3 linked regions of the Elephas maximus indicus genome follow. The protein of the gene in region 3 interacts with the protein of the main gene of each other region in a pairwise test. Links are inferred from orthologs where the notes say so. Each region holds a gene or a part of one and is shown on either strand. Other genes may lie near its edges.

The links.
Region 1: the proteins of CWF19L2 (region 3) and NAB2 interact in binary tests that used the Homo sapiens proteins (3 or more experiments, as listed by UniProt). The two-hybrid records come from large-scale screens. The link is inferred for Elephas maximus indicus from reciprocal best matches to the Homo sapiens genes CWF19L2 and NAB2.
Region 2: the proteins of CWF19L2 (region 3) and MAD1L1 interact in binary tests that used the Homo sapiens proteins (3 or more experiments, as listed by UniProt). The two-hybrid records come from large-scale screens. The link is inferred for Elephas maximus indicus from reciprocal best matches to the Homo sapiens genes CWF19L2 and MAD1L1.

What each region holds. Positions count from the first base shown.
Region 1 is NC_064822.1:117,002,160-117,006,060, reverse strand, and holds the start of NAB2 (NGFI-A-binding protein 2), read right to left. Parts: upstream 2,757-3,901; 5' UTR 2,503-2,756; coding exon 2,420-2,502; intron 979-2,419; coding exon 105-978; intron 1-104. UniProt on the Homo sapiens protein: Acts as a transcriptional repressor for zinc finger transcription factors EGR1 and EGR2. Isoform 2 lacks repression ability.
Region 2 is NC_064830.1:96,566,515-96,570,415, reverse strand, and holds the start of MAD1L1 (mitotic spindle assembly checkpoint protein MAD1), read left to right. Parts: upstream 1-1,751; 5' UTR 1,752-1,826; intron 1,827-3,901. UniProt on the Homo sapiens protein: Component of the spindle-assembly checkpoint that prevents the onset of anaphase until all chromosomes are properly aligned at the metaphase plate.
Region 3 is NC_064825.1:12,388,496-12,392,396, reverse strand, and holds the start of CWF19L2 (CWF19-like protein 2), read right to left. Parts: upstream 2,653-3,901; 5' UTR 2,597-2,652; coding exon 2,504-2,596; intron 1-2,503.

The DNA of each region.
Region 1 (3,901 bases), on a different chromosome or scaffold from region 3:
CAGACCAAGCAGTAACGACATAGACTGAGAAAACGCTAGGATTCACAGAGGTGAGGGGGTGAGGCCCAGGAGCCAAGGGCAATTTTGGGAGGCAAGGTCCTCACCTCATGCAGGCTGAGTTGCTTGCCCTCTCGCCGCTTGGAGTCAAAGCGGCCATAGATGATGCTGTACTTGCGAATCTCCTCTTCTTTCTGGCTGTCACTATCATCCATCTCAAAGATGTGCCCCACGCTCCGTGCCAGCTTCTTATTCAGCTTTAGCAGGGAGGTTACCTCCCCAGCATCCCCCCTTGGGAAGCTCCGGAAGATTCTCTCCACACTCTCTACCACCATGCGAACCATTTCTGGCTCCAGTCGGTCTGGACCACCCCCAGTCCCACCTACTGCTAGTCCCCCAGCCCCAGTTCCCTCAGGGACTCCTCCCCCTGCAGGTGGGGAGAAGGGGGGTGAGCCAGCCTCCTCTTCTCCTCCTGCCCCAACATCCGACTCTGGAGTGCTCCGACCTGGCCAGATCCGGGGATCCCCTGCCCCAGGTCCCCCTGACAGTGGTGACAGCTTCTCCCCAAGTTCCAGGGGGCTTTTGGGGCTAAAACTGCGGGCACTACCCGCCTTTTCCCCTGGGCTGCCATGCCCATTGCTCATGTTCCCTTTCCGGGTACCCGCAGTCTCAGAGATCTTGAACAGGGGGATGCTGGAGACGGGTACGGCAGGCACTGGCTGGCTGAAGAGCCCTGGATTTGTGGCCCACTCTCTCAGTGCCTTCTGCAGGCGCCGGACATGAAGGGGCTTAGTGGCCATGCCCACGAGTGCCATGATCTCCAGGAACTCCTCCTCCCCCGCCTCACACAGCTGCTGCACGTCGTCCCCTCCCTGCTGGATGAAGGTCTCGTAGTAGGAAAGGAGATTGGCACGCTGCAGGACCCGGTACAGCTGCAGCTCCCCCAGCGTCCGAGGCAGTGCCATTGCTCGGGCACTGGGCCTGAGAAGGAGGTGCACAAGAGAGAGAGACAGTGGATCCAAGTCCCTTGTTGGGTACCAGCCCATCCCCACAACTGTCTTCTCTTGGCTGCCTGCTTTTCTTCCCTTCTCTTAAACGCTCTATCTGCCCAGTGCCCAAGCCTAAACACAGACCATGAGAATCAAGACACTCACTGCTCAGAAATACAAGCATGCCAGTGCCATCCCAGAGTGGCCAGAAGTACACAAAGCCAATGCCCAGTCTTTACAGGAGTCAAAGACTCAGCCTCTGCCTTCAGCTTTTATCCTGCAGGCCTGGTGCAAGGAGCACTGAAACCTGCCAGCCCAGCCCTGAGGTGGCTGGACCTCCCTCTCTCCCAGAATGCAGATTTCACCTTGAACTCTAAATACTCAAAAATCTCAACATTACCCAAGATGACATCTCACTCTAAGGTGAAGGCCCACCTTTTCATCCCACATGGACAGTGGGAACCCTGCTGGCTAGCTCCACACCCACATGACATGCTGCCCAGGTGGATGAGAGGGAGGGGTGTGGCCCCTTCCCCGCCCTTTTCAACTAATGAGCCAGGGGACCCATGTTCCTCTCCCAGGGCTTAGATGGTCTTCTTAAAGCACCCTTCTAGGACCTACCCTCCCCCCCAAGCTACCCAGTGCCCCTCAGTTGGCCCCTCTCCTAGCAGTGACCTTCCCCACTTGCTAGCTAGGCCTGTCCCTTGATGGGGGGGGGGGGGAATGCCTCAATTGTTCTGCTTTGGGGCCCTTCCGCCCACACACACTCCCACAGTGGTAGGGTCTGTGGGCGAAAACCGCCCGGAGACTCCCGCCTACTTTCCACTCCTTCATTTCCCACCCACATCTTCAAGTGGAGTGGAGGAGCGGCTCAAGGCGGGAGGGGCTGCACATCAGCTCTTCTACACTCCCCCCCCCCCCCGCACTGCTGTAACTAGAAAGACTGAAAAGGAAAAACAGGCTTAACACATTCCTCTGCTTCCCCAGTGCCCTAAAGATGCTCTCTTGGCCCAAAGGCGCTGGCTTCTCCCGGACCCCGGGGCCCCGCGCACTCCGTGCCAACGCCAGATTGAGCCAGCCAGCGGCCCTCCCGCGACACTCTTGCCTCCAGCTCCAAGGGCTTCCCCTGGTGCTTGGGGGCTCCCACGTTCTTTGTGGGGAGCTCACAATGCCTCCAGATCCCTGCCAGATCATGCTCACAGAGTAAACGGGTGAGGAGGAGCCAGGTACTACTCTTTCACATTCAGCTCATCAAATCCCTGCTGCCCCAGGGTCCCCTAATTCGAAAACTCACCCCCTCTCCCATCAGTCTCCACCCCCCCACCCCCATCCCGCTTCCCTTGTTCTCTCCCAGACCCCTGCCCCCCCGGACCCCATTCCGAAGTCCGACTCCACCCATCTCCATTCCCCGACGCTTCCCTTTGCCCACTAACTTGAGTCTGGGCTGCGGGGTCCGGTGGGCGCTGTCCCCTCCGCCCAGCGGCTGCTCGGCAGTGGGGGAGGGCGCTCTGTGCATGGACGGCAAGAGACCACCCGGGCTGCCCCTCTCGGTGCTCAGCGCTCAGCACCTGGTGCGCGCTGCGCTCTTCCCGGTGCGCGATACCGTGTCCGTAGCTGTCCAGGCTCCGTCCCTCCCTCCACGTCTCCTCTCTCCGAGCCTCCGCGCCTCTGTCTGTGCCTCTGCCCCCCCCCTCCCCGGCTGCGCTTGCCGCCTCTCCGCTCCTCCGCCCCCGCAGGACGCACGGGGAGCGAGGCCCGGCGCTGCGCAGGCTGCTGGGCGGGCAGAGGGCGTGGGCAGTGCCGGGGCGGAGGCCGGGGGCGGGGGGCGGGAGTCCAGGTCTGTCCGCCGCGGAGAGGCCTCGGCGGAGAGATGGAGAGAGGCGGAGATTGCGGGGAGGGGGTGTGAAACAGGAGGCGGGGGCGGTGACTGGGAGCCGGGGTGCCAAGTTGGAGATCGAGGTGACTGAGGCCGAGCTGTGGAAGGCGGGCTTGGGGACCCAGCGGGCGGGGCGAGGTCGCTCCGTGCCGCCCACCCCGGATGCACAGCCAGCCTTCTCCGCACCCACGTGTCCACGTGAGCGCCCCGCCGGCGACATTCCTACACCCCCACCACCTTTACTCCTCTGAGCTGAGAGCGGAGTTTCACAACCGCGCGCAAGTACACAAAGACAACAGAAGCGCACGGACGGGTAAAGGCACTGAGACAACTACGCGGACGCCCGCGGCCCACACTGCGAGGGCGTCGTGGTGCCGTATGTGTGAATGTTAGGAGCGAGCCGGCCAAAGTTGGCGGAAAATTGTGCGCAGCTCTGCTGGTGCGTGCATCTGACTACCATAGGGTTTGAACGTAAGGCAGATCTGTGAGCGTAGGGCTTGCTCTGGAGGAATCCCTTAGGTATTCCGGTGCCATTCCCCAGTCCTAAAAGGAGTAATCTGGGGAGACTGCTATCGGAAACCCAGGCCTCCTCCATCCCTGCCTCCCTTGTTGCCGAAGTTTGGGAAAACAGGAACAGGAGGTCACCACATAGGTTCTCTTTCATTAGACGCGTCAGGGTTTGTTAGCGCTTAGGTCAGGCAGGGGGTATGCTGCTTGCTGTGGTAGTAGAACTGTTCCTTGAGAATGTCCGTGTGGCAAAGCTGGGATAAGAAGATACCCTTCTGGGACACCTATTAGGGGATCTCGTTAGAGTCTAGTTGAGGAGCTGCAGGAGGCGCGCGTCCGACTTGCTTCCTTATTTAAGCGCTAGATGGAGAAGCGCCTTCAAGGACTTAGGCCCCCCCATCCCCAACCCACCACCTCCTCCCCCTTTTGTTTCTCCCAGCCCCATCTGGTTCCCATTTCGCTGCCGCCTACGGCTGGAAGGGCTGGAGGGGGGGCGGTGGGGGCTCTGAAGCCCCGCCCAGCGGCTCGCGGC
Region 2 (3,901 bases), on a different chromosome or scaffold from region 3:
GCAAATTGCTGCTGGGAGGGTGAAGCAGTTGTCTGGGAGGTACAGCAGGATAAATGGAAAGCTTTTTTAACCAAAAAGAGATGGCAAAACTATATTCAATAGCCACAGTATATGACTAAAAACAGCGTCCTGGGTCATAATTTGTGAAGAGAAAATTATGAGCAAAAGATAGGTGAAGAGAGAAGAATGATAAGAGAGCGACTGAGGGAAAGATAAAAAAGAACAATTCACTGAGGCAGAGATGCACACACCTCTATGTAGCTTCCCTGCCTTAAGGACTGAACAGCCTACAGGGAAGCAGGTTTCCACCCTTGCTCTAAAGAGAACAATGCACAGGTTGTTATCTTGGCTACACAGTGTAATGTAGAAAAGTCTGAAATTTCAACCTGGGGATGAATTTCCGTCTCTCTGGTGGATAATCTGAAAATGCATCCATTCTTCAAGCAGAACGAGTTCCCAGAGCAATTAGGGAAGACATTTGGTATGTATTTATGCATGGGGTGGGTATGCCTTGGCTTCTGCTGGAAATCTATATTGGTGTAATCCTGCAGGCGCCAAAGACCATAAAAGTAATTGCCAAAGCAAGCAGTGATGTGGTGTGTTCATTTATTTTATTTTACTCTTCCAGGAACTTGATGCATATCTATAAGAGAATATACATGGATTATTTTAAGGGATTTCCATGCTTTAGTTTTTTAAAAACTGGTTTCTTAAAAGCCATTTCCTGGAGGTGTGCTCATCCCTCAAGTAGAAGTCATTGACTGTATTGAAGATTAAATCCCAGGGACCAGCAAGGAGAAGAATAGATACCCAGGAGTCCCCATCAGGGCCCTGGGGCCTGGTCCAGCTCTCCGAAGGAAGCGGCAGGCCAAGTTTTTAAAATTTGATTGCAATCAGTTAAGTCCAGAGGACCCAGTGTCCTACCTCCAGCACACCCTTCCCCCAACCTCTTTCCTTCTGGAGGCACACAAACTTGGAAGGCTTTTGTCTTCTGGAAAATCGATGCAGCCCGTTGTGAACAGCACTTTAGAGAAAAGTCTGGGACAGGGCAGTGGAGGAAAAAAAAAAAAAAAAGGAGGAGAGGCTGAAAATTTATGAACAAGCCAGACAAACTGTCCTCCGGGAAGGGCTCTATGTTAATAAAAACACAAAGTTGCTGTAATTCAGGGAGCGATGGGATAATGCTATGAGCCAGTACAGAATCGAGGGTCAGCGCCGGCGCTGAACAGGGGGTTGGCTGTTGGGGTTTGTCTTTTTCACCCCCTTATTACATGCTGCACTCTGGAAGAAGAGGAGGATTAGACAAGGTCCCTGCGCTCCAGGAGCCTACAGGGCACTGGGAAGATGGATAGCCTAGGAAGCATATCTAGTTTGTATTTCCCAGGCGGTCCAGAGAAAAGGAAAAGACCTATTAACTCAAATACTGATTCAAGTATCGTAGTAACAAAATCTTTGCTAGAACCAACAGGGCAAAAAAGTTTGGCCCTAGGAGGCCACCGGTGGCGCTGCTACTCCACACATTACAGTACTAGGCGCTGTGCCTCCGCTGAAGCCCACCGTGCGGTGGGTGGGTGGGTGGCTGGGAGGCACTCCGATATTCCAGTGTCCCTTCTTCGGCTCTGAGCCCTCTCCGGGAGGGGTCTCGGAGCGGCGGGCGGCACCCGGTGCAGCCGCAGGAGGTCAGAAGCCGCCGAGCGCGGTGCTCCTGGCTGCCCGGGGCGCGTCCCGTCGCGTCTCGCGAGAACCGGCCGCACCTCTCGCGAGACGCGGGCCCGGCCGGAGGAGGGAGATCCGAGCGGCGGCGGCGGCGGCGTGAGGCGGCTCAGGTGAGGGCTAAGCGTGGGGCGCGGTGCTGAGCCGGGCCGCCCCTCTCGGTCCCTGCCGCGCGATCGCCGCCCGGACCCCGCTCCCTGTGACCCCGGGTGCTCCTACTGCGGCCGCCTGTGGAGGTCCGAGCCGGCCCTCGTCTTCCCTTGCCCTGGGCCAGGACCCCCCTCTTTGAGGACTCGGTGCTCCCGGCCCTGCCCTCGTCTGTGGAGGTCCGACCTCGGTCCTGCCCCGCGGAGTCCAGCCAGGCCCTGCCCCTCCTCGCCCCGGGGTGCGGCTCCGCCCCCCTCTAGATCCCTCTCTCCCGCGGGGTCGGGCTTTTCCCTTTCCTTCTCCTCACCTTCCTTCCATCTAGCAGGGTCTCTGCCGTCCCCCGTCACCCCACGTTCTCTCGCCACTGACCCCTAGCATCCCCTGGCCGCTCCTCGTCCTTGTTTCGGCTTCAGACTTTGTGGTCAGTTCCTCACGCCCCCTGCTTGGCTGCTGGACCTAAGAGAGCCGCTGGGACTGAGCAGCTGGTCAGCAGAGCCAAGCGGGGGACCGTGAGGGCCAGAGGGAGGGCTTCCTGGCCGGTGTTGGGGATGCCAGTCCTTAGGAAGCTCGGGGCCTCAGGGACAGTCCAGTAAAGAGGGATGCTCTTCCCTGAGGGCCGCTCTCTGGCGGTGACTGCACCTTCACCTCCAGTTCTCCATCTGAGGAAAGCATGGCAGTTGCATTGCTTCCGTTGTCAGAGATGGGTCACATCACTCCTAGCTGGTAGAAAAGTACCAATTCCGGTTGCTGTCAAGTCGACTCCAACTCATGGTGACCCCACGTGTGTCAGAGTAGAACTGTGCTCTGTAGGGTTTTCAGTGGCTGATTTTTTGGAAGCAGATCACCAGGCATTTCTTCTGACATGCCTCTGGGTGCACTTGAATCTCTGATCTTTACATTAGCAGCCTAGGGTGTTAACCATTCGCACCACCCAGGGACTGCAGCTAGTAGGGACTTGTGTCTCATATGTAGTATGCATTTGGAGAAAGCAGAAAAAGCCCGTGGCCAACTTGTTAGTTGCTGTGGAGTCCATTCAGTCTCGCTGATCCCACCTGTGCAGAGAACTGCTCTGTAGGGTTTTCTAGGCTATAACCTTTTGAAAGCAGATCGCCAGACCTGTCTTCTGAGGCACTTCTGGGTGGGTTCAAACCACCAACTTTTCAGCTAGTGGAGTGCTTAACCCTTTGCACTACACAGGGACTCCTGCCGACTTAGACTAGTGTAATGGGTGGTGACTTGCTATGTGAAGTAGTGTTGTGGGATGGTGAGGGTCCATGTAATTTCTGTAGGCTTCGATAGCTGTCCGTTTTGATGAGGGCAGTTGAGAGTGTGCTCTTGACTTCCAGCTCAAGGGTTCTGCTGGGAACAGTTCAGGCTCAGGGGTTAGGAGGCTGGAAGGTTCCAGTTTCTTGGACAAGGAGGATAGCGTTTTCTAGGTAGTTGATATAGCTGTTCTTTTCATTCTAGTGTATTCCATATGTCAGTTCTTTTAAGAGATGGCATTCCAAGAAGAGGAATATTAGCTGAGTTTTTCATCATGGCATGAAAAAGCATGGCTCTGGCCTAATCTTGTCAAATGGAAGGATTTGGGCTTCTCAGAGGTGCCCTGCTGCCTTCCGCCCTTTAGGCCTTTGTCTGTGAGGCCCACAGCGGTGGGAGTGCTCATTCAGTTTTCTCCAGCCATTTTGACTTCACAGTGTGACAGACAGGTGGGAGAGAGCAGCTACCTTTCACAGGGGTGGACTCAACGGCCTGAGAAGACAAGGACTCCACTTGTACAAGGCCCAGCTTCCTGTTAAATGGGGAATTCAGAGTTGGACCTAAGATTCTTCACTTTCTTTCTTTTTTGGGAGTTGAGGGCAGGAGGTGTTTTTCAATCTAACGCTTAAGGGGAATAAGAGAGGGAGCAGGCTGTTGTCCTAAGGGGGACACGGTGTTGGTTGTAGGCATTCCTCACCTTCTGCCAGGTGTGAGGCCGTGAGCACAGATTGCTGTTGTTTCTCCACCCCACCACATACTGGCTCGTGGACACACATGGCCT
Region 3 (3,901 bases):
ACCCGGGTCCTTCTAGTCTCAGTCTTTTTATGAGAATTTGGGGTCTGCATCCCACTGCTCTTCTGCTCCCTCAGAGGTTCTCTGTTGTGTTCCCTGTCAGGGCAGTCATTGGATGTAGCCAGGCACCATCTAGTTCTTCAGGTCTCAGGATGATGTAGTCTATGGTTCATGTGGCCCCTTCTGTCTCTTAGGCTCGTAATCGCCTTGTGTCCTTGGTGTTCTTCATTCTCCTTTGATCCAGGTGGGTTGAGACCAATGAATGCATCTTAGATGGCTGCTTGCCAGCATTTAAGACTCCAGACACCACTCTTCAAAGTGGGATGCAGAATGTTTTCTTAATAGATTTTATTATGCCAATTGACTTAGATGTCCCCTGAAACCATGGTCCCCAGACCCCTGCCCCTGCTTCGCTGGCCTTCGAAGCATTCAGTTTACTCAGGAAACTTCTTTGCTTTTGGTTTAGTCCCATTGTGCTGACCTCCCCTGTATTGTGTGCTGTCTCTCCCTTCACCTGAAGTAGTTCTCATCTACTATCTAGTGAATGCCCCTCTCCCACCCTCCTCCCTCCCTCCCCCCTCTCGTAACTTTTTACAAAAGAACGTTTTCTTCTCAGTTTAAACTATTTCTCAAGTTCTTATAATAGTGGTTTTCTACAATATTTGTCCTTTTGCAACTGACTAATTTCACTCAGCATAATGCCTTCCAGGTTCCTCCATGTTGTATGTCTCACAGATTCCTCACTGTTCTTTACCGATGCGTAGTATTCCATTGCGTGAACATACCATAATTGATTTATCCATTCATGTGTTGATGGGCACCTTGGTTGCTTCCATGTTTTTGCTATTGTAAACAGTGCTGCAATAAACATGGGTGTACATATATCTGTTCGCGTAAAGGCTCTTATTTCTCTAGGACATAGTCCAAGGAGTGGGATTGCTGGATCGTATAGCAGTTCTATTTCTAGCTTTATAAGGAAGCGCCAAATCGATTTCCAAATCAACTACAATATTAAGGGAAGCATAGTCATGTTTTGCCTTATTTCCAAGTTTTGGATATTTTTTTCTTCAAATATCAAAGAGTAAACTGGAAGTTTTCTTCCAGCATTTGGGAGTGAGGATCATTTTATTCCTCACAGCAAAAGTAAGAAAACTCAAATAAAAATGAAAATGAATTACAATAAAAATTTTTAAAACCACTTAAGGAACTAATATGAATGGTAATGTTGCAAACAAATATCAGTTCTCAAGGTAATTCTAGTCTGTATGCAAATAAATGAGTAAATAATATTCATAGCTCCTGTTCAACAATGTAATCTTTTACTAATAGTCTTTTATCTTTTCCTAATAGTCATATCAGAACTATGTTACCACTTATTTTTCCACAAATAAATCTTTCTCCCTTACCCCACGATAATATTGAACAAGCTTCAGCAAATTACAGAAAACACTTACATTTGAATAGCATTAAGTAAACTCTTTCACAAGAATAAATAAGAGCAAATAAGGCTGAGTTTGCAGATAAGGGTTACAGAAACAATGAGGATTTAAAAGCATGCTTACAAACCCTACTTCCCTCGAAAAACTGCTTGAAAATACCAGAATCAAGGTTGAAGAATACTTACTATACATACATAATACTTATACTAAAGTCAGGGAGCAATACAGACCTTGCGCTTGTCTAAGACTAACTGCCTACTCTCCCACTTTAAGATCTGGCTGTAGTCATTATACCCTCTCATTCCTGCATCCTCTACCTTTCCTTCTGTACTGGATCCTTTCATTTGCATTTAAACTCGTTTAAAATTCTCCCATCATAAAACAAACAAAACCGTGTACTTTCACTTGTACCCTACCTTGCTCTCCAGCTATTAACTTTTCCCATTTGTTACCAAACATCTTGAATAGCTTGTTAGACAATTTAATAGAGTTTACTTGCTCCATTCTTTGTATCTTACCTCTATGCATCTCAGTCTAAATGAGGAATACAAAGTTTCTCAATCTTTTTCCAGGGACTAAATTTTCTGGGTCTCCACTGTCAACCCTTGTTTGGATCAGTAAAGGCTTGCAATGAGCCTGAAACTGATACCAAAAGGAAGACACGAGAATAAAATGGTCAAACACATTCTTTACAACTGTTCTTCAAAATGAAAATTTTAGTTTCAGATACAACATGAGCAAGGACTAAGGCTGTAAGGCACTACGGCAGAGTCCCTACAAGTGCGCAGTCCAGGAGACAGAAAAGACGGGATGATTTAAAAGGCAAGGAAACTCAGAGGAAAAGGAACAACGCTCCCTGAATACAGGGAAAGAACAAAGGAGCCAGCCAGAGCGTTTGGAAGGCGGGGAACAGCCAAGAGCTTGGGGGTATCCTCAAAAGAGACCCCACCCAGAAAAGGTAAGGTACTTAAGTGTGTGCCGGGATGAGGGAAGCTGGAGTGCCTAGCTGTCGGGAACCCTCCACTCCCACAACTTAAAGGGTTTCAAAAGCTCCAAAATAGACGTACCTGGCGCAACACTTCGGCCCTAGCAATCCGGGTCTGTTCTTTACGCTCTTCGATACTCTTCGCACTTTCAAATCTACCACTAGCAGCCGCCATAGTTGTTGCCGTCGTAAAGTTAGGAAGCCATCACGAAATCCTAATTTACGACTGTCGTAAATTAATAGACAAACCAGAATCTCCAACGAGGGGAAGGAGAGGCGCTGTTTCACCTACGGAGCATGCGCTGCTGTGAGGTGCGTAAACGTCAGAATTACAAGTTCCACGTTTTAGAGACGTGAAGACTAAGTGAAGTGTTACCCTCTGTTCGTGTACTGGATTCGCCCTGAGCAGGTTTAGTGTCAATATACGTTTGTTACGCTCTGTGCACTATACTGACGGCTTTCTCGTGTTTCCTCGAAAATCACCACTAAGTCAGAAGTTCATAGAGGTTAAATTAAAAAAAAAAAAAAAAAGTTGCTGTCCAGTCGATTCCAAATAATACCGACCCTACAGGATAGAGTAGAACCGTCCCATAGGGTTTCCAGGGAGCACCTAATAGATTCGAACTGCAGACCATCTTACGTTAGCAGCCGTAGCTCTTAACCACTAGCCACCAGGGTCTCCAATTAAGTACCCTTCTCGCGATAGGAGATTTCGGGTGCTGGGGGGAATGAGAAGAAAGAAGGCTGGCGGGGAAAGCAGAAGCAGGCAGGAAGGGCGAAATTGGTTTGATTCGGTATTTTGCTTTGGTTAATTTTTTTTTTTTTTAATATATGAAATAGTGATGTGATTTTGCATTGTACTTCACCCGTGCTTACTTTAATTTTTAGAAGTTTTTCATATTGGTCCCATCTTAATTGTTCATCTCATCCATCCAGGCTTTTTTCATTGCAACGTGCCGTTACCTGTGCGTGTGTTTTGTTGTTTTATGTTTGTCTCTCCCAAACATAAAAAATTTAAGTTCCATTTTGAAATAAAATCAAGTGCTTTGACAATACAAAGCACTGAGCTTACATTTTAATCATATACAAAGAAATCTGTAAAATATAAGCTAAATATCTTAAAGACACAAAATAATTAACATAAGTGGGGTTGAGGTAAATATTCTTTCTTTTCAGGTTTCATAAAATTGCATTTGTTTGCAAGAAGCTTTCCCCAGAGTTTGTTTTACCATTTAGTGAAAATCTTAACCTTGAGCATGTGGTTTACTTGTTTGATATACAAAATAAAATTTACTCATTGTATTTTTGCTACAGAAGATTGAATTTTAATTTACTAATTGACCTTGTAATATTTAACCCACTGACCGTGACATACTAATGTTGTCATAATTCTTTCAACCAGCATTGAAGTCTTTTCAGATTTTCCTGGGATTAAGAAAAACATTCCTCTCTCCCCTGCATCAGTTATGGAGCAACTAAA